4 linked regions of the Ovis aries genome follow. The protein of the gene in region 2 purifies or fractionates together with the protein of the main gene of each other region. This does not show direct contact. Links are inferred from orthologs where the notes say so. Each region holds a gene or a part of one and is shown on either strand. Other genes may lie near its edges. The genes, in order: CUL4A, LATS1, AMOT and SAV1.

Region 1 (4,100 bases), on a different chromosome or scaffold from region 2:
CTGTGAAGCTTCTGGAGGGACTCAGCACCTAGTACTGGGAGTGATTAAGCTGTTCAGCCATCACGGTCGCTTGGTAGCGGGAGAGGAACTGCGGCGTTGGAGCCCTGTGGCTGAGCTGGTGTGTTTTGCAGACTTTTGGGACAACGATCGTCATCAATCCAGAGAAAGACAAAGACATGGTTCAGGACCTGCTGGACTTCAAGGACCGAGTGGACCACGTGATCGACGTGTGCTTCCAGCGGAGCGAGAAGTTCATCAACCTGATGAAAGAGTCCTTCGAGACATTCATCAACAAGCGGCCCAACAAGCCCGCGGAGCTGATCGGTAGGGAGCAGGCTCGCGCACAGGCTTCCCCTGGAGCACGCGCCGCACGGGGAGGGTGGGCGGGCCTGAGAGGGCCGCCTTTCCGGAAGCCACAGACACCAGCGTGCGCTTCTGTGTGCTGAATCCATATGTGAGCACGTGATGTTTCCATTGGGAGCGTGTGGTGATGGTTTTGTGACAAGATGGAGCCTGACGTCTCAGGAGCAGGATGAGACCAGCAGATTTCTCCTCGCCTGCACGGCCCCGGCCCCAGAGCTCTTCCTGCCCAGAAGCTGGCCTGGGTTTGTCGTGTAGGAATGTTAGGAGGGTGACTGTTGGCCTCTCGACAGCGCCTGACAGGAGATGGCTGTTCAGGCTCGACCTTGTATCCCCCAGTCAGTGTTAAATGTGGTGCGATTGATTGGCACTCTTTCAAATGATCCCTTTGTATACTTATTTCCTGATAACATCAAAATATACCAGGATTCATGGAGTCTCATCAGTGAGGCAGTTTTTTTGGAATTGTCCAGAGGCAGTGGGCAGGGAGGTGTGAGGCCGTGGCATAGGGCTGAGCTCCGGTGTGGGCTGGTGAAGGCGCCTGGTGGGAAAGTGGAGGTTACAAGTGCGTACATTTGTGGCGCTCAGAATCAAGACAATGAGGGGAGGGGCTAAGACGAGCCAGCGGAAGGAGACGTTCAAATGCACCTGTTTGATTTGGCCTTTGTGCCACTTTATAGACTGTGGTTTCTCTAAAGACACATTCGGACTCTGGGGAGCTCGGGTTCTCCCTTCCTTTGGGCAGGTCGAGGCAGCCTGTGCGTCTCGAAAGCAGGAGGGCAGGCGGACCCACTCTGTGCCTGAGGGGTCAGCCCTGAGGGGAGTGCTCCCGCGTAAGGAAGCCTTGCCCGCACGTCTCCGCAAATCCTGCTGGCGGGCTGCTCCGGCTTCTGGAGCGGTCGTGTGCCAGGAAGCTCCAGTGTGGGACCGCGGGGTGTGTTCTCCGAGCCTGGAAAGCACAGATCTTAGAACATCAGGTGTTTGCCTTTTTGTTACAAAATAACATGTCAGTTTGGGAAGGTTCCAAGTGTTTTTTCTTGGAGAAATTAAAGACCTTCCTTTTTGTATTTAGAATATGTATCGTATTGTGGAGTGAATGCTTATTTTTCAAATGATATCCTCTCCTACAGCAAAGCACGTAGACTCAAAGCTCAGAGCAGGGAACAAGGAGGCGACAGACGAGGAGCTGGAGAGGATGCTGGACAAAGTCATGATCCTGTTCCGGTTCATCCACGGTGAGCTGGGCCCCCAGCGCGTCCGCGGCATGGGACCGCGGTGGCAGCCGCTGTGCGCGCAGCAAGGGGGTTTGTGGGGATTCAGCGGGAAGAGCTGGCTGGCACACGCGCGTGGTCGCCTCTTGGGCCGAGTCAGAAGCTGAGGTGAACATTTTGACGGCAACTGTTAAATGTCTCACATGGTTCTTGCTTATAAATAGGTAAAGACGTGTTTGAAGCTTTTTACAAAAAAGATCTAGCAAAAAGACTCCTGGTTGGAAAAAGTGCCTCCGTCGACGCTGAGAAATCCATGCTGTCGAAGCTGAAGCACGGTAAGCGCCGGGGGTGGGGGTGAGCGCCCCACTCAGGGCCTTCCTGATGCTCACCCGCCGTCCGCTTTGTGCAGAGTGCGGGGCCGCATTCACCAGCAAGCTGGAGGGCATGTTCAAGGACATGGAGCTCTCCAAGGACATCATGGTTCATTTCAAGCAGGCAAGTTGTGTTCAAGTGAAACAGCTCTTTTAAAAACACGCTATTTCAGATTCTGTGAAATGATTTTGCATGTAAGTATGTGACCTGTGTAAAATCCTCGTCTTTAAAAATCACGCTGTTGATGCTCCACGTACTCAGAACACTTCAAAATGAAAAAGAAACATAACCCCCCGGGATTCCCTGTTGGTGCAGTGGTTAGGACCCCAGGTTTCCACTACCGAGGGCCTAGATTCAGTCCTCAGTCTGGGAACTAGGGTTCTGCCGGTTGTGTGGCGCAGTTGGAAAACAAGAAAAGAAAACTAATTCCTAAAAGTGCACTTGGAACTCTGGCTTAAATGAGCTTAATGGCCCGTATCTGGGGCAGAAGTGAAGAGAGACGTTCCCAGTGGCGTTTGACCAGGGCGTGTGGCCTCAGTGGGCTATGTTCCAGGGGCTCGAACAAATGAAACGCAAGGTGAGCTGTAGCTGGGAAATGGGGTCATCGGTTTCTGGAGGTCAGTTCTGGGCGCTGCTCTAAAGTGGCCGTCTGTCCCGGCTTCCTGTCTGTGCAGTACATGCAGAACCAGAGTGACCCGGGCTCCATAGACCTGACCGTGAACATCCTGACCATGGGCTACTGGCCGACGTACACGCCCGTGGAGGTGCACCTGACTCCAGAGGTGAGCGCGCTCGGGAGCCAGACCCTGCTGCCACGCGCTCCTGCTCCAGGCCCCACGCACCGCAGGGAGCGTGGCAGCCACGCTCGCTGAGCCCTGACCATCCGCGTCTTCTCGGAGCAGCGTTCACAGCGGGCGCTCCTGGTCTGTCTCTGCCGGCTGCCTGTCACGGAGGCGCTGGTTTAAAAAGCTCCTGTGTGGGAGCCTCGAGCTTCCTTGGCTGGCTGATGCTCCCACCCGACATACCAGAGCCAGGGCCTGAGAGGGCAGGGACGGCGTTGTGTGGCTGAGACGGGCCCTGTGAGGGGGATGGGGTGTGCCTGCCGGCGTGGGCCCAGGGCCTCCGGGGCGACAGCTAGGCCCAGGGCCTGGCACCCGGGCAGATGTGCTGCTGCCCGGACCCACCCTTCCTGTTCGCAGGGCAGAGTCTCCTGGAGTCCCCCGTTTCTGGCCCCAGGCAGTCTCTGTCGCGTCCTCTCCTCCTTTTCCTCTTGCCTGTACCCCGAACGCACATGTTCCCTGGAAGCCCCAGCTCCGTCCCTCTCAGCCTCCAGCCTGTGTCTCCAATCCCCCCCACCCCGGGTCTGTCACGGCTGTCCCAGACTCAGCGCCCCTTCCCACATCTCCCCACGCGATGGGACGGCTCTGCACCCCTCCCCACACTCTGCCTGGCGCGCTCACGCTCCCAGGGCGGGTGTGACCGTGCAAGCTGACACTCTTTCCTGGAAAACCTCCACGCCCCGTCTGTGCCTGCTGGTTGACACTCGTCTCCCCCCTCCCCCTGGGGTGTGCGTGCACACGCGTGCCGGCGCTGCAGGACTGGCCGGGCGTGGAGGGATGGCAGGAACAGGCCAGAGTCCCAGGGCCTTCCCTGGGAGAGGAGGAGTGCAGCGAGGGTCGTCCCAGCTTGCGCAGCCGGGCAAGAGCACGGGCTCTGACCAGGCGGACCACCGGCGCTCCTGGGCTCAGAGGCTGCAGGGGGCCGAGGAAGCCTGCGGGGCTCGGGAGCGGGGGCAGCGAGGGTCGTCCCAGCTTGCGCAGCCGGGCAAGAGCACGGGCTCTGACCAGGCGGACCACCGGCGCTCCTGGGCTCAGAGGCTGCAGGGGGCCGAGGAAGCCTGCGGGGCTCGGGAGCGGGGGCAGGCCCCACCGCCCCTGGCAGGAGCTGTTGGAATGGTGGCAGCACGGGGCTGCGCGCTGGTGGGCCGCCGTCAGGACACGGAGCAGGCCGCATTCGGCCCAGCGGTGGCTTAGGAACTCGGACGCTGAGCCGCTGGCAGTGTCAGAGTGAGCGTGCGCAGCACAGTCACGCTCGCCCTCCTCCGCTGACAGATGATCAAGCTGCAGGAGGTGTTCAAGACGTTCTATCTGGGCAAGC
Region 2 (4,100 bases):
GATCGATCGTGATGGTCATATTAAATTGACTGACTTCGGTCTCTGCACTGGCTTCAGATGGACACATGACTCTAAGTACTACCAGAGTGGTGAGTAAAATCATAAAATTTGTATGTATTCATATGACTTATTAGTGTAATAAAATATAAGATGATATTATCCCTGGATGGGAGCCAGAAGTCCTGGGTCAGGTCTTAACTCCATTGGATAAATGTGAGTGAATCCTTTAGATACTTAGATTTATAAAATGAAAGTGTGTGTTAGAATTAATTATTTCTAAATGTCATTAACATTTTTTAATTAATCTCTTTACATTTTGTTAATGTGAAATGTGTCAGACAAATAACAATTTGAAAATAATTTTTAATTTTTTAATTGAAGGATAATTGCTTTACAGAATTTTGTGGTTTTCTGTCATATGACAGTTTGGAAATAATTTTTAAATGAAGCCCCCTACACACCACTCAACTTAAGAACTAGGTTATTACTATTTTTGAAGTCCCTAAACAATCACTTCGTTTTCTTTCCTCCATAGAGGTAACCTTTATTTCAAAACTCCATAATCAGTTCTTTACTTTTCTGTATAGTTTTATGCATATCCCTGAACAACATACTACTTCATTTTGCCTACCCTTGAACCTTTATTTAAATGTAATCATTTTACATGTATTCTTCTATGTTGACTTCCTTTATTTGTTTGAGGTTCATCTGTGTTCCTGCATATAAATAAATGATAACATTTATTTTCACAGCTCTTTAGGATTCCATTGTATGACTGTTATACAGCTTGTTTAAACACTTGATGTGCATGATTCTCTTTAATCCTCACAATGTCATTGTGAGGCAGAGTGAAGAACCTGAGGCTAAGTTAGAAATTTGCCCATGGTCGGACAGAAAATAAGTGTAAGGGCTAGGCTTTGAACCCAGGTTTGTCTGCTTACAGGGCCCATGTTATTTCTGCTATACCACACTGCCTCACCAAGATCCCTCCAAGCACTAATGGAAGTGTAAGTCAATCTAACATTTGTTGAATACTTACCATGACTAGGTGCTTTATATATATTCTAATTTAATGTTCACAGCAATCCTCTGAGGTAAGTATTATTGCCTCCAATGCTTCTTGTGAACACAAGTGGATTTACATTAAATAGATAGAACTTAAGATATCTGAAGCTACTTTAAAGTTCAGGTTGCTGCTGCTGCTAAGTCACTTCAGTCGTGTCCGACTCTGTGCGACCCCATAGACGGCAGCCCACCAGGCTCCCCTGACCCTGGCATTCTCCAGGCAAGAACACCAGAGTGGGCTGCCGTTTCCTTCTCCAATGCATAAAAGTGGAAAGTGAAAGTGAAGTCGCTCAGTCGTGTCCGACTCTTAGCGACCCCATGGACTGCAGCCTACCAGGCTCCTCCATGGGATTTTCTAGGCTAGAGTACTGGAGTGGGGTGCCATTGCTTTCTCCATAATTTAATATCTCCCCAGATTTACCTGAATCTTATCTGGGGCTTATCTTAAAAATATGATTCTTAGACTCTCTTCCAGTCTTCTGATTGAAAATCTCCACTGGAGGGTAGAAATTATTTTTTAATCAAACATCCCCGTTTATTACAGATAGGTTAATTTCAGATTTTTTTTTTCCCCTAGGTGATTTCATCCAGTCATAGCTTTAATTACTACCTCTGCATCAATGACTTCGAAATCTCTCTTCAGAAATGTCCTCTCCCTTTCACACGGATTCCTAATAGGCCTTTCAAACTTAAGACTGCTAATCAACGATTCTTAATTTCTCCCCCTCCCTATTTGTTCCCCCTCCTTTTTGGTAAATTGTACTACCACCACCCATCCTTGATTCTAAATGTGTTCACTTTTCTCCATCTGTACTATTATCATCATAGTCCAAACTTAACTGTAATAGCCTCTTACCTGGTCTCTTTTTCACCCTTGTCCTCCCTATACTCTATTCTCTATATAGCAGTTAAAAGTTTTCCTTTTTAAACATATATCAGACCTTTTCATCACTTCAAGAGAATGAAAAGGTCTGATACGTGTTTTAAAAGAAATGCCTTCATTTAATACTTCTGTATATATAAGTATATTCATATGTATAAATACACACACACACACACATATGTATTCCAGTATCTTCACTGTACTTGAAGTAAAAGGCAAACCGTTTCTTTTGCTTGTAAAACCCATGTGCGCTGTCTCCTGCTCCATTTCGTTCCATTCTCCCCTTTACTAACCACACTGGTCCTCTCAAGTACTGTTGTGTGTAGAATGCCTTGTCTGGTTTTCATATTGTTGAGTTCCTCTTTTTTTCTTTTTAAACAAATGCCACCTCAGCACATTTGCCCTATCACCGCATGTTGATTCTCTGTGCGGGACACATCACTGGTTCTCACATATGTATTTGTTATATTTTTCCCCTACAGATAACCTGCCTGAGAGAAGAATATTGTCTTCAATTGTTAATGTTGTCATTTGCTGAATAAATGAAACACAAATCTAATTTGTTTGAAACTTTGTCCAGAATAATTGGAGAGCAGCCTGAATAACAAATTATCGGTCCTGCCTACTCAATAACTTTTATTGTCATCATTTGTTGTTGAGTAAATTACTACATCTTAGACTAATTTTTCTTAGTGTAAGATTTATCCTTTGGTATTTCAAGAGTACAGTCTCTAGTTATTAATAAGTACAGCGTCAGTGATTTGGCATACATTGTGTCTTAGCTTGTCAACACGGGGAAGTGTTGTTAACTTTAGGATGTCTAAAGATTAAACAGATAGGTCTACTATTGTTGTTTTTATTTATGTATTTATTTATTTTACTATACAGGTGACCATCCACGGCAAGATAGCATGGATTTCAGTAATGAATGGGGTGACCCCTCTAACTGTCGATGTGGTGATAGACTGAAACCACTGGAGCGGAGAGCTGCACGCCAGCACCAGCGGTGTCTCGCACATTCTTTGGTTGGGACTCCTAATTATATTGCGCCTGAAGTCTTGTTACGAACAGGTAGACGTTTGTCCTATAAAGAATCTCAGTGTGCCTGTAGACCAGGAGAATATGGTTAATGGTTCAGGTTTACAATAAAAGTATTAATTCTATAGTATAAATTGGCGATTTAATATTAATTTTCATTGTATTCATTCTGAGCAGTTTTTTCAAAAGTGCTTATGAATAACCATAAATTTGGTGTCTAATTTTAGGCTATACACAGTTGTGTGATTGGTGGAGTGTTGGTGTCATTCTTTTTGAAATGTTGGTGGGACAGCCGCCTTTCTTGGCACAGACACCATTTGAAACACAAGTGAAGGTAAGGTGTAGAATCTGTACCAAAATAATTGTTATGAAGCCCCAATACCATACACCTTTATCAGTCCTTTATTTAGAGCATCTTAATTTACAATTAAAGAATGAGCTTGTAAGGATATAGGAACCCACTGAAATTCCACGTGTGCTCTCCCCCGTGGGATTTTACCACCCCCATATCCTTCCTCATGCATATACTACATTCACGGTTCTTCCTCTTACAAGTTTTTAGTACCTTTTGAAGATGTATTCCAGTTTATTCTTTCTACTGACTGCTGGCTTTGTTTCCTTGCACGTACATTCTGGCCCCAAACTACTAACAAATGTCTGTATCTCCCTAGCATTTAAATGAAAAGCTGCTCACAATGTTGATCATAAATTATCCCATTTAAGAAACCTTTTCGTGGCTTTGTCTATAAAGTCCCAGTCTTTCCTCTGTTCCTGTGTTCATACCATTCCCTCTGTACGGAATACCCTTCTTTCTCTCCCATGTTTCACAACTTTCCCTCCTTTGTGTTTCACTCCTGGGCATTTTTAATCATTCTTTGAGTGTGTCTTGACATACTGTCTCTTCTGTGACACTCTACCCAAGTTATGTTCTGTCTGTCACTTCATTTAATACACTATATTTAAAACTTCTTCAGAATTTCTTTTGTTACAGGTTTACTGGTAATACATTCTCTCAGGTTTGTGTCAGATTTGTCTGAAAGTATCTTTATTTTGCCTTCATTTTAATGCATATGTATTACGAAATAAATGCATAGGTAGAAATACAAATATGTTT
Region 3 (4,726 bases), on a different chromosome or scaffold from region 2:
CCACCATGGAGAAGAGTAATGCCATATGGGCAGCTTGTTTAATGCCCCCCTTAGTTCTTGGGACCAAATTCTAACCTTTGACTTAGGGGTGGGACCCTAGATTTTGGACCAAAGTCCACAAAAGGAAGCAAAGAACGAAGAAGTAAGCAAGACTAAAGACAACACGTCATAGTAAACCGGCAACAAAAATTCCTGGGGACAGGAAATCAATGGAGCACAATTCTAAACAAATTGGTTTAGTCCCAAGCTAATTAACTTGTCAAGCAGATCTCCAAACCCCCTGAATCCATGAGGGAAAGAGGTGATGTAATAGGAGATTTGGAACATTTACCCATTTACCATCCTAAAAGGCTCAGCTACGACCACACACACCTCTCTCCACTCCTTTCAGTAGGTTTAAGCTGGGCTTAATGGGTGCAAAGGACAATTTCTTCCAGACAGACCCTAAGAATAAACTGTTCTCATGCATTCCAAATGCTCAGTCTCCATGGAAGAGGCTACCTGGTCACAAACATTTCTCAAGAGGGACTATATCATCAACACTTCCTCATTGGTAACACCCCCACCCCAACAAAACAAAACAATTTCTAGCCATCCTGGGAACTTTGGGGCACTTTGGTGGGGAGAAAGGAAAAGAAACCTTAAGAAAGGAGTAGGAGAGGGTGAGAAACAACTCTTGTCCCCAAAATGGAAAAAAGGCCTTAAAAAAGCTGATCAAAGGACGAGAAGGGGGATGGGGGAGAAGGGCTGCTTAATTACAAAGACACCCTTTTAAAGAAGGCACAGGCCCTGGGAGAGGGCTCTTAGGAGAGGCACAGAAGCAGATGTACCCACTTAGAATTCTGGCACTCAACGGAACCTCAAGGTCATAGCATCCATCCCTCTGCTTTCTGAATAGACTGTTCCTAAGGCATTCTAGAAAGAGACTGATTCGGTCTTTACAAAACTTCATAAAAAGCAACTCCACAAAACACCTTGGTAATGCATTAGTCTAATAAATCCTACTTCATAAACCAGAAATGAGATTTCAATTTCCAAATCCAAAACAGTATTGAATGTGAATTTTTAAATTCCCTAAAATCTTTTACATAGGTGAACAGATCTTTCAAGCAAAAGTTATTTTACATATAAGCATGGTTAGAGATTTACTTCATATCTAGACCATGAAGTAAGAAAAAGTGCTTTCAATTTTACGGAGCCACAGACTTTTCCAAAGAAAGAAGTATCTTAAAATGAAGTATGATGTAGTGCCAGAAAGTGTCTGTAAATGACACTGGATAAACCCATACAGAATAGCTGGAACCTGAGTTATCATCTGTAAATAGATGCAAGTACTCTACAACCACCTGGCTATTAAAATGTCCCAGGCCAGTTACAAAATGTAGTTTCGTCAGGCCAACTTTTCCTTCTCAGTTGATCTGAAATATGATAGCCTTTAAAATTGTCACCCTGTAGCATTCCTTCCCTCCTTCCTGCTTTCTTTTCCCCCATTGAAATCAACTAATTAAATCAGGTAAAAATATAAGAAAATAATTTATTCCCCAATAAGCAATGTGTTGCAGACATCTTGGTAATTGGTCTTTGAACACCACCATTCTTGTAAGTTTGCCATGTTTGCTAGATTGGAGGTTAGGTGGGAGATGGGTGAAGATTTATCTAGCATCCAAAATGGTATTTCAAACTGTTCTTAGCTACTAAATGAGGGTGCTGAAAGGTCTAACTCAGAAAGCTTCACAAAGGCTGTTCTGAGAAAGGACTTTTCACAAAGCCTAGTTCAAGGAGACTTAAATACCCTTAGCCCCACATTAGGGAAGATTATGGTGACTAATTATCTTCCTTTCTGAATGGGAGAAGAGGGTTATATTTTTTAAAGCTTTAATCTGCCTCCCAATTTCCACTCTTCATGGGGGTGGGGGAGGACAGCGAAGAGGAAGGAAAACTAAATCAGATACTCCAAGGTGTCAGAAAATCCCTTCTAAAATACATGTTAGAGATTGGAAATGCCATTTCTCACAAACTGTCCTTTCCTCTCTCATTTAATCGTATGTAGTCCTTTACTGCAAATTACTATTAAATTATTACTAGCAGCAATTAACCAGGGATTGCTCAGTCTACAGAGACTGTCACTTTGTCTCTCACTTTTCTTCTCTTCATTGGCTTACCCTGATAAAGCTGTTCTGATCCTGAAGCATCTGTGTACAGCGACCCAGCCTTGGGACCCTCAAGATACCTGCATATCAGGCAAAACTAATTACTAATATCCATAACGCAAATAAGGGGCAACCCTTTCTTCATGACCACACACACACCTTATACCTAAAAGAGTATAGCACTGTAGATTACTCCTCCAGGCTAAGATTTCAAGAATTCACAGCCCCGGGGAAGAGGAGTGTGAGCTCCCACCCCAACCCCAAGCATTTAGGAAAAATGCATCTAACAATCTGAGATAAACCCAGACATTCCAGATGATCTAAACGTAGACTTCAAGTTCCCTCTGCTCTTTAGTTCCTTTTGTGTTTAATTACCTAGAGACCTACAAGGACCCCAGAAGGCAAGAAAGTAAAAGTGCCATCAAATAGTGGTACCCATTCGCATCTCCGTAGGACGGGAAAAGGAGCGCACACTCTTTAACCTATTTAACTTACTGCACATCCCGGAAAACTTGTGGCCAGCTGCAAAGAAAGTAGAACACAGGCATCCCCACGCAAATCTAGATCGACTCACTCACGCAGAGGTTATGATCAAGTTCACGCCACCACGGATTCCTGCCCCATTTCCCCGCGAAAAGTAACCACGCGTCTCCTACCCCTGAAGGAAACGAAGACAAGGTGACGACTCTGCTCGCTCAAGTGGCTTCGGTCCCGGGCCAGAGGCCAGGGGTAGGCAGGAGGGAAGCCCCAGCTCCCGGCTGCTCCCCTCCTCACCGCTCCGTCCGGTCTCTCCTTGGTGGCACTGGACAGGCAGGATACCGGGCCGGCGGGTGGAGCAGCGGATGGTCGGAGGCGAGACAGACTGGAGGTGGGGGTGGAGGGGGCGCTGAGAACTAAGAGAAGATGAGGCGAAAGGGAGCGGAGATGGAGGAATAAATCAGGAGGTCTACCAGCTTAGGCAGCTAGAAAGCTCCTCAGAAGGAAGGGGCGTGACTGCGATGAAGGCAGCTCCTGGGCAAAGGAGCTAGGAGCTAGGGGAGGGGGAGAACGGGTGGCTTTTCTTCTTGCGGTGAGCGGCTAGGACCGCCCAGAAGCCGGGGCGGTGGGGGTGGGCGGGGAGCTGGGTGGACTAGGCAGTGGGGCGGAGAAGAGGGCGGGGAAAGAAGGGGGGGAGTCGGCCAGGACCCCGGGCTGGGGGTGGGGGGGCGGAAGAGGGGCGGAGCTAGGGGGCGGGGAAGTTCAAACAATTGAACGCCCGGGTCCGATAGCTCCGACGAAAGCGGGGACGCTTGCTCTGGTAGCCCACGAACGTGGCACGATTCGGTTATAGTAGCCCCGAGTCTACGCAAAGACTGGCTGGGAGGAAGGAAAGACTTGTGCAAAGACTCCAAAAATAGTGTGCGGCAACAGCGGAGCGGAGTCGCGTGGGAGAGCTAGTGCCACTCCCCGCCCCATAGCGGGAGGAAGAAAAACAAATAACAGAAATGCTGAAAAGCAGCTTCTCGAGAAGCTTGCTTAAAATAATTCAGGAAGGAGCAGCGGTCCTTCGTTTTCCTTCCCCTCTTGCTTCCTATGACCAGGAGGCCCCCACCCAGGTCACAGCTCCGCGAGACACCCTCCTTTCTTCCTCCACTCCCCCTAGCCACCCCTTTCCTCCCCCGCGCCACCCTGCGTTCCCGCCCCCTCCCGGCGGCGGGCCGCGCTGGCAACTGGGGTGTCGTGGGCGGTGCTCTGCCGAGTCTCCGCCTCCTGGGCGGGCTGAGAAGGCCGGTCTGGGCGGGGCCGGCCTAGAGGAATAAATCCCGCCCACCAGTCTTTGACGGCTACCGGTTGGCGAATCCTGGCCCAAGGTTCTCTTATGATTGGTCACTTGCGTCGTCGCTCGGATTCTTTGGTCCCACCCGCCCTCAAAATTAATAAAACTAAACAAGAGGCTATTGTCTTGCTCTCGGTTCTCTCGCAGCTACTGCCGAGAAAAGAAAGATGAGACGCTTGGTTTTTCTGTCTCCTAAGAGAGTACGACAATGTGTCGGCTGGATCCGGTACACCTTCCCGGCCCTCCGGGAATAGGTAACTTTTCTTCCCCCTTAATTCATTAGGCCCAAAGCGGGGAAAAAAGTATGAGAAGTCTCAATGTGGTGTTCACATTTCCCGGCTGCGAAAAAATTGGTATTGCTTGAAAAACACAGCCTGGTTGAGAACAGCTTCCTGAGACACTGAAAATCAACCATTTTAAGCCGGGAAAGGAAAGCACAAAGAAATAGCAGGAAAGATGAAATTCGGAACTAAAGGAAGAACTCCTTCAGACTCAAGCACTCAGTAGCTAGTTGTGCGACGACTTCGGTTAAGTTCCTTAATTTTTCCCATCTGTAAATAAAGGCTATGAGACATGTCCTGTTAACCTAATGGCACTGGTATATGAAAAATAAAACGAATTGTATGTGAAAACTGTAAATCACAAGGCACTCCACACGTGTATATGTTCCTACTTGTTTCTGTCACACGTGGAGATTCTCCACATGTGTTTGGGAATCATATTCAGCTCATATGTTTTAAGCATTTATAGCCAAGGTGTG
Region 4 (4,635 bases), on a different chromosome or scaffold from region 2:
CGGCAACCCACTCCAGTGTTCTTGCCTGGAGAATCCCATGGACAGAGGGGCCTGGTGGGCTACAGTCTATGGGGTTGCAAAGAGTCAGACATGACTAAGCAACTAACACACACACACAATCTTGTGTAAGTAGAAAATTCCTTGCCTTTTGTTAGTTGTTTACATCTCTTGTAAGATGGTTCCTATCTTAGGGAAAGAAAGCACTTTCCATTGTCAAAGCCTCAATTTGGTCACTAGAGGTGGATCCCATCTTATTTCTCAAATGTTATCCTGATCATTTTGCACCTTTGCTAAGTTAAATAGAAGAAAGCAGGGTTTCTTTTAGATTAAAAATCCCAGGTCTTGACCTTTAGTGCTCAAAATTCTCAAAAACAAAAACAGAAAGAAATCTAAAATAGGAGTATTTAACTCTATGAAAGAAATTTTCACATACTGAGGTCTGAAGAAGTCACTCTGGATTGCACACAAGTTTTTACCTTAGCTAAAATGCCCTGTTTGTGGATTATCCAACACATAGTGTACATCTGCTTTATTAACAGGCTCATTAACTTAGAAGTAATCTGGTGACTGGGCAACTAACACTTAACAAGGCTGTCCATGATAAAGACAAAAATTCAATGTCTCCCTTCCTGGGATGCCAATGCTTTTACTGCTTCAGGGATGACTCCCTTTCCACGTACCAAGGCAATAATAACTTCGTGTGTTCCAAACTGATTTTTTTTTTTTGAAACCTTGAAGGAATATATTCCTGACTTATTGAATGTTTTGTTCTGACAAAACTATGCTGAAAACCATGCTTCCCCTCAGGATGTCCTCAGAGTTACCTGAGAAGCTGTCTTCTGGACTTGTATTTCCCAGTTCGGCTCAAATAAAACTCTTTTGTATTCCCATGAGAGGTTATTTTTTTTCCATTGACAACTCCATATTTCCAAGAGGAAATATATGGTGGATAATGATAGTGATAAATAAATCACGCTAATATCAAATTTATCTTGCATCACAGATAACAGAAACACCACTTCGGCTTCTTCCTCCGTGTTTTCCTTTATCAGAAAGACGCACACTCCCTGGCACTAACGGGGTGTTTTCAACAAAAAGATCTAGATTTCTTTGGCTGCAGCATTAGCGTAAGGGTGGCGTTCCTTCGACTCTACAGGCGTTCTGTGCTATTACGGGCTTGAATTTACCAGCCCCCAAAACTCCAAGAGGGACGTCCTCTTTCGTGGCCGAGGACGCGAATGCATCTTGGGGGCATTACCAGCTCCCTCAAGGTCCTGAGAGAAAAATCTGCGGGTAGAGGAGGTTCCTCTGCAGGAGCGCGCCACGGCCTCCTGCGCTCAGTCTGGCACGTTTCGTCCAAAGTGCCCACCAGACCTGCTCCTCGCCGAGCGGGAGTGAAAGCAGCCGCTCCTCCTCCTGAAGACGCTGGGACGACCCGTTAGCTGAGAGGGCGGCCCCGCGTCCTCTGGCCCGAGCCACGCCCAGGAGCGGGTGGGGGAGGGGCGGCGGCGCTCGCGCTGCGTCGAGTTTCCCAGAATTCCCAGCGGCCGCAGGGAAAGTTTACGGGACGTAGGCGGCGACAGCGGCGGCAGCAGTAGCGGTTACTAGGTGGTCAGCAGCGGACCATGGCCCTGGCCGGGCGTTCCTGGCTCTTCTCTCGGAGTCCTCGGGCAACGACGCGGAGCCGGCAGACTTCCGGGAAGGAACTGACAAGCGACTGAGCGGTGACCGGCGCGCTTAGCGCCCCGAACATGCGGCAGTCCTTGTGGGCAACCCCGGGCTGCGGAGAGGCGGCGGCGGCGGCGGCGGCTCGGGAGGGAAGGAGGCGGCGACGCCGGCGGAGGTGGCGGCGGGGACACCCGGCGCCCGGCGCGGAGCCTTAGGGCGGCTGCTTGGCGTGGCCTGGGGCCTCGTGGTCAAGGATGCTGTCCCGGAAGAAAACCAAAAACGAAGTGTCCAAGCCGGCCGAGGTGCAGGGGAAGTACGTGAAGAAGGAGACGTCGCCTCTGCTGCGGAGTGAGTGTCGGGCGGGGTGCGCCCACACCTGGCCTGGGCGGCCGCGGGGGACCCGGGCTGGGTGTCCGACGCCGCTCCCCGCGGCTTCTCTTTCCTTTTGGCCTCTGTGATTTTTTTTTTTTTTTAATGCCTGGAGTGATGTTCGTTGTTTGAAAGCTGATAAAGAGTAAAAAACTTAAGTTAGTCCACCTCTGTTCCCACCCCCCGCCCCCTGTCCCGCCCGTCAAAATCCACAGACTTCCCTTCTTGAAACTATGTTGTTGGTTTTGATTACTGGAAGAAAGATATTCTTTAGGAAACAAATTGCTCATCCGCTGGTTCTGTAGGAATTAAAGGGATTACACTGGGGCACGTTTTCCTCTTGTGACGTCTAGATTTGCATTGTGTTTGCAAACACTGTGGGTGTCACTTGCTCTGCTCGTAGTTGTGCGAACGCTTGAGTAGAATTCTTAGTCCAGCTATTGGATGATGACGTCCGGAGGTGAAAGCTGACCGTCGCTATTGTAGCTGCTGCCCAAAAAGCCTCCTCAGTTGTAGATCTCAGGGTTGAAGAGCCAAAATTATATGTGTTTGGCTGTGTTCATGAGAATTTCTTCAAATAAAACCTCCTAGAAATCCGCCAAAGACTCAAAATAATTTCCATCATACTTTGGGGAAAATTACGAAAAAAGTTGTGTGTGTGGTTATAAACATTTTTTAATAGAGTGCATTTCGCTGGCACTTTATCTTCAATTTAAGTATTTGACTCTAATTTTCCTCCTGAATCTTTTACGTTTTTAATTCTTGCTTATGTGTTCAGAACATTTGTGAGGTAAGGAGCAAGTTTTTTGGTGTTCATACTAAATGCTGGGTCCTTTGTTAAGTTTCCTTCTTGGAAGCTGGTGACTTTGTGACTTAAGCATTACCTCATATTGTAATTGGGAAAGCTTTTCATAGAGGTTCCTGGTAATATTTGCCCAAGATCACACAAAAAGGGGTGGAGAGCATGTTTTCCCATTATAACCACATCATCAACCTTCCAGATTTATCCTTGTATTTGCAATGCTTTCTTACAGAACAGATCAGATGGGTACATCAGTAACCTGAAACTTGATTTTTAAAAACTTTTTTTAATAGTTTATTTTTCATTTACATATTCTCTTAGGATTTTGGCCAAGTTTAGGTTAGCTTGCAGTTAGCTTCAGATAACAGTGTTATTCAACATTCCTTAAAATCATGAAATATGTTTGCCACACCTTTTAGCAAATAACTTTTGATATATAGTATTTTGTTTTAGTTTCATCAAATGTTGAACCTTGTTTATTCGGTTACTAATTTTTGTGTGTTTGGCTTCTGTTGCATATTAATATGCGTGCCCTCTGATACTGTCTACTTAGTGAACTAATAAAATGGTCTCCAGATCCAGTTTTCTTCTTGTTTTAAAGGTGTTTGCTTTCTAACCAGGAATGCTTAAGGTATTTATTTAAGTTTTATATTCAGAAGTACTGTACCCTTAAAGCCATTGCCCTGTTTTCTTCTGTTTTGAATTGTAATTGTTCTTAATTGTTTTGAATTGTAATGGTTTTAGACTTGGCGTTTTTTGTTTGTTTGTTTGTTTTTGAACTGATTCAACATTTGTGTGTCTCTTTGAAATGAGATTTAAAAAAAATTTTAATTTTCATAGCTTAATTTTTAGTTTTTCCATCTTTTGAGTATTGTACTATTGCTACGTAATTCCAAGAGTAGGAATGCCAGGTTAATAATTTTTAAATTTTTTTTTAAGGAATTCGCCTTTACATGTTTGAGAATAGCATTATGATCTGTTTCATTTTTTAAATTGTGTTTTACTTAAAGAAGAGTTTGGGAATGAAGTACAATCTGCAAAACAAACTAATGTTAAATTATGCTGGTAACTGTATTCATTTGTTAGATTGTTTACTATTTTTATACATTTATTCATGAGCATTAATACATATTTTGTAGTTAAACTTACTGATGTTTCATTATATTATGTTTGGTAGTATGCAGAATATGTTTGAATCTGGTAGAGCATACTTATAACACATTCATACAAATTATAAATTCATTTGAGTGGGAATATGGCAATCAGCCTCAATTTAAAATACCCAGATACTTTGCTAAAGTTTCTGATTGTGTTTTCTTAAGTCCATTGAAATTTTTCATTTTGGGGTAAGATGTAAATAAACAACTTTGGAAAAGCATATTACTTACTAGTCATTTTATTCTTTTGTTTTATTATAGATCTTATGCCTTCTTTTATCCGGCACGGTCCAACAATTCCAAGACGAACTGATATCTGTCTTCCAGATTCAAGCGCTAATGCCTTTTCAGCTTCTGGAGATGGAATAGTTTCAAGAAACCATAGTTTCCTTAGAACTCCAATTCAAAGAACACCTCATGAAATGATGAGAAGAGAAAGCAACAGATTATCTGCACCTTCTTACCTTGCGAGGAGTCTAGCAGATGTCCCTAGGGAATATGGCTCTTCTCAGTCATTTTTAACAGAAGTTAACTTTGCTCCCGAAAATGGAGACTCTGGTTCCCGATATTATTATTCAGATAATTATTTTGATGGTCAGAGGAGGCGCCCACTTGGAGATCGTGGACATGAAGACTATA

The links.
Region 1: the proteins of LATS1 (region 2) and CUL4A purify together in Homo sapiens (affinity purification with western blotting; 3 studies listed by BioGRID). This does not show direct contact. The link is inferred for Ovis aries from reciprocal best matches to the Homo sapiens genes LATS1 and CUL4A.
Region 3: the proteins of LATS1 (region 2) and AMOT purify together in Homo sapiens (affinity purification with western blotting; 3 studies listed by BioGRID and IntAct, with this or other methods). This does not show direct contact. The link is inferred for Ovis aries from reciprocal best matches to the Homo sapiens genes LATS1 and AMOT.
Region 4: the proteins of LATS1 (region 2) and SAV1 purify together in Homo sapiens (affinity purification with western blotting; 3 studies listed by BioGRID). This does not show direct contact. The link is inferred for Ovis aries from reciprocal best matches to the Homo sapiens genes LATS1 and SAV1.

What each region holds. Positions count from the first base shown.
Region 1 is NC_056063.1:85,900,372-85,904,471, forward strand, and holds part of CUL4A (cullin-4A), read left to right. Parts: intron 1-131; coding exon 132-324; intron 325-1,490; coding exon 1,491-1,595; intron 1,596-1,795; coding exon 1,796-1,906; intron 1,907-1,980; coding exon 1,981-2,066; intron 2,067-2,617; coding exon 2,618-2,725; intron 2,726-4,054; coding exon 4,055-4,100. UniProt on the Homo sapiens protein: Core component of multiple cullin-RING-based E3 ubiquitin-protein ligase complexes which mediate the ubiquitination of target proteins. As a scaffold protein may contribute to catalysis through positioning of the substrate and the ubiquitin-conjugating enzyme.
Region 2 is NC_056061.1:73,960,410-73,964,509, reverse strand, and holds part of LATS1 (serine/threonine-protein kinase LATS1), read left to right. Parts: coding exon 1-89; intron 90-2,836; coding exon 2,837-3,019; intron 3,020-3,213; coding exon 3,214-3,320; intron 3,321-4,100. UniProt on the Homo sapiens protein: Negative regulator of YAP1 in the Hippo signaling pathway that plays a pivotal role in organ size control and tumor suppression by restricting proliferation and promoting apoptosis.
Region 3 is NC_056080.1:121,832,135-121,836,860, reverse strand, and holds the start of AMOT (angiomotin), read right to left. Parts: upstream 3,184-4,726; 5' UTR 1-3,183.
Region 4 is NC_056060.1:41,781,026-41,785,660, reverse strand, and holds the start of SAV1 (protein salvador homolog 1), read left to right. Parts: upstream 1-1,562; 5' UTR 1,563-1,922; coding exon 1,923-2,016; intron 2,017-4,257; coding exon 4,258-4,635. UniProt on the Homo sapiens protein: Regulator of STK3/MST2 and STK4/MST1 in the Hippo signaling pathway which plays a pivotal role in organ size control and tumor suppression by restricting proliferation and promoting apoptosis.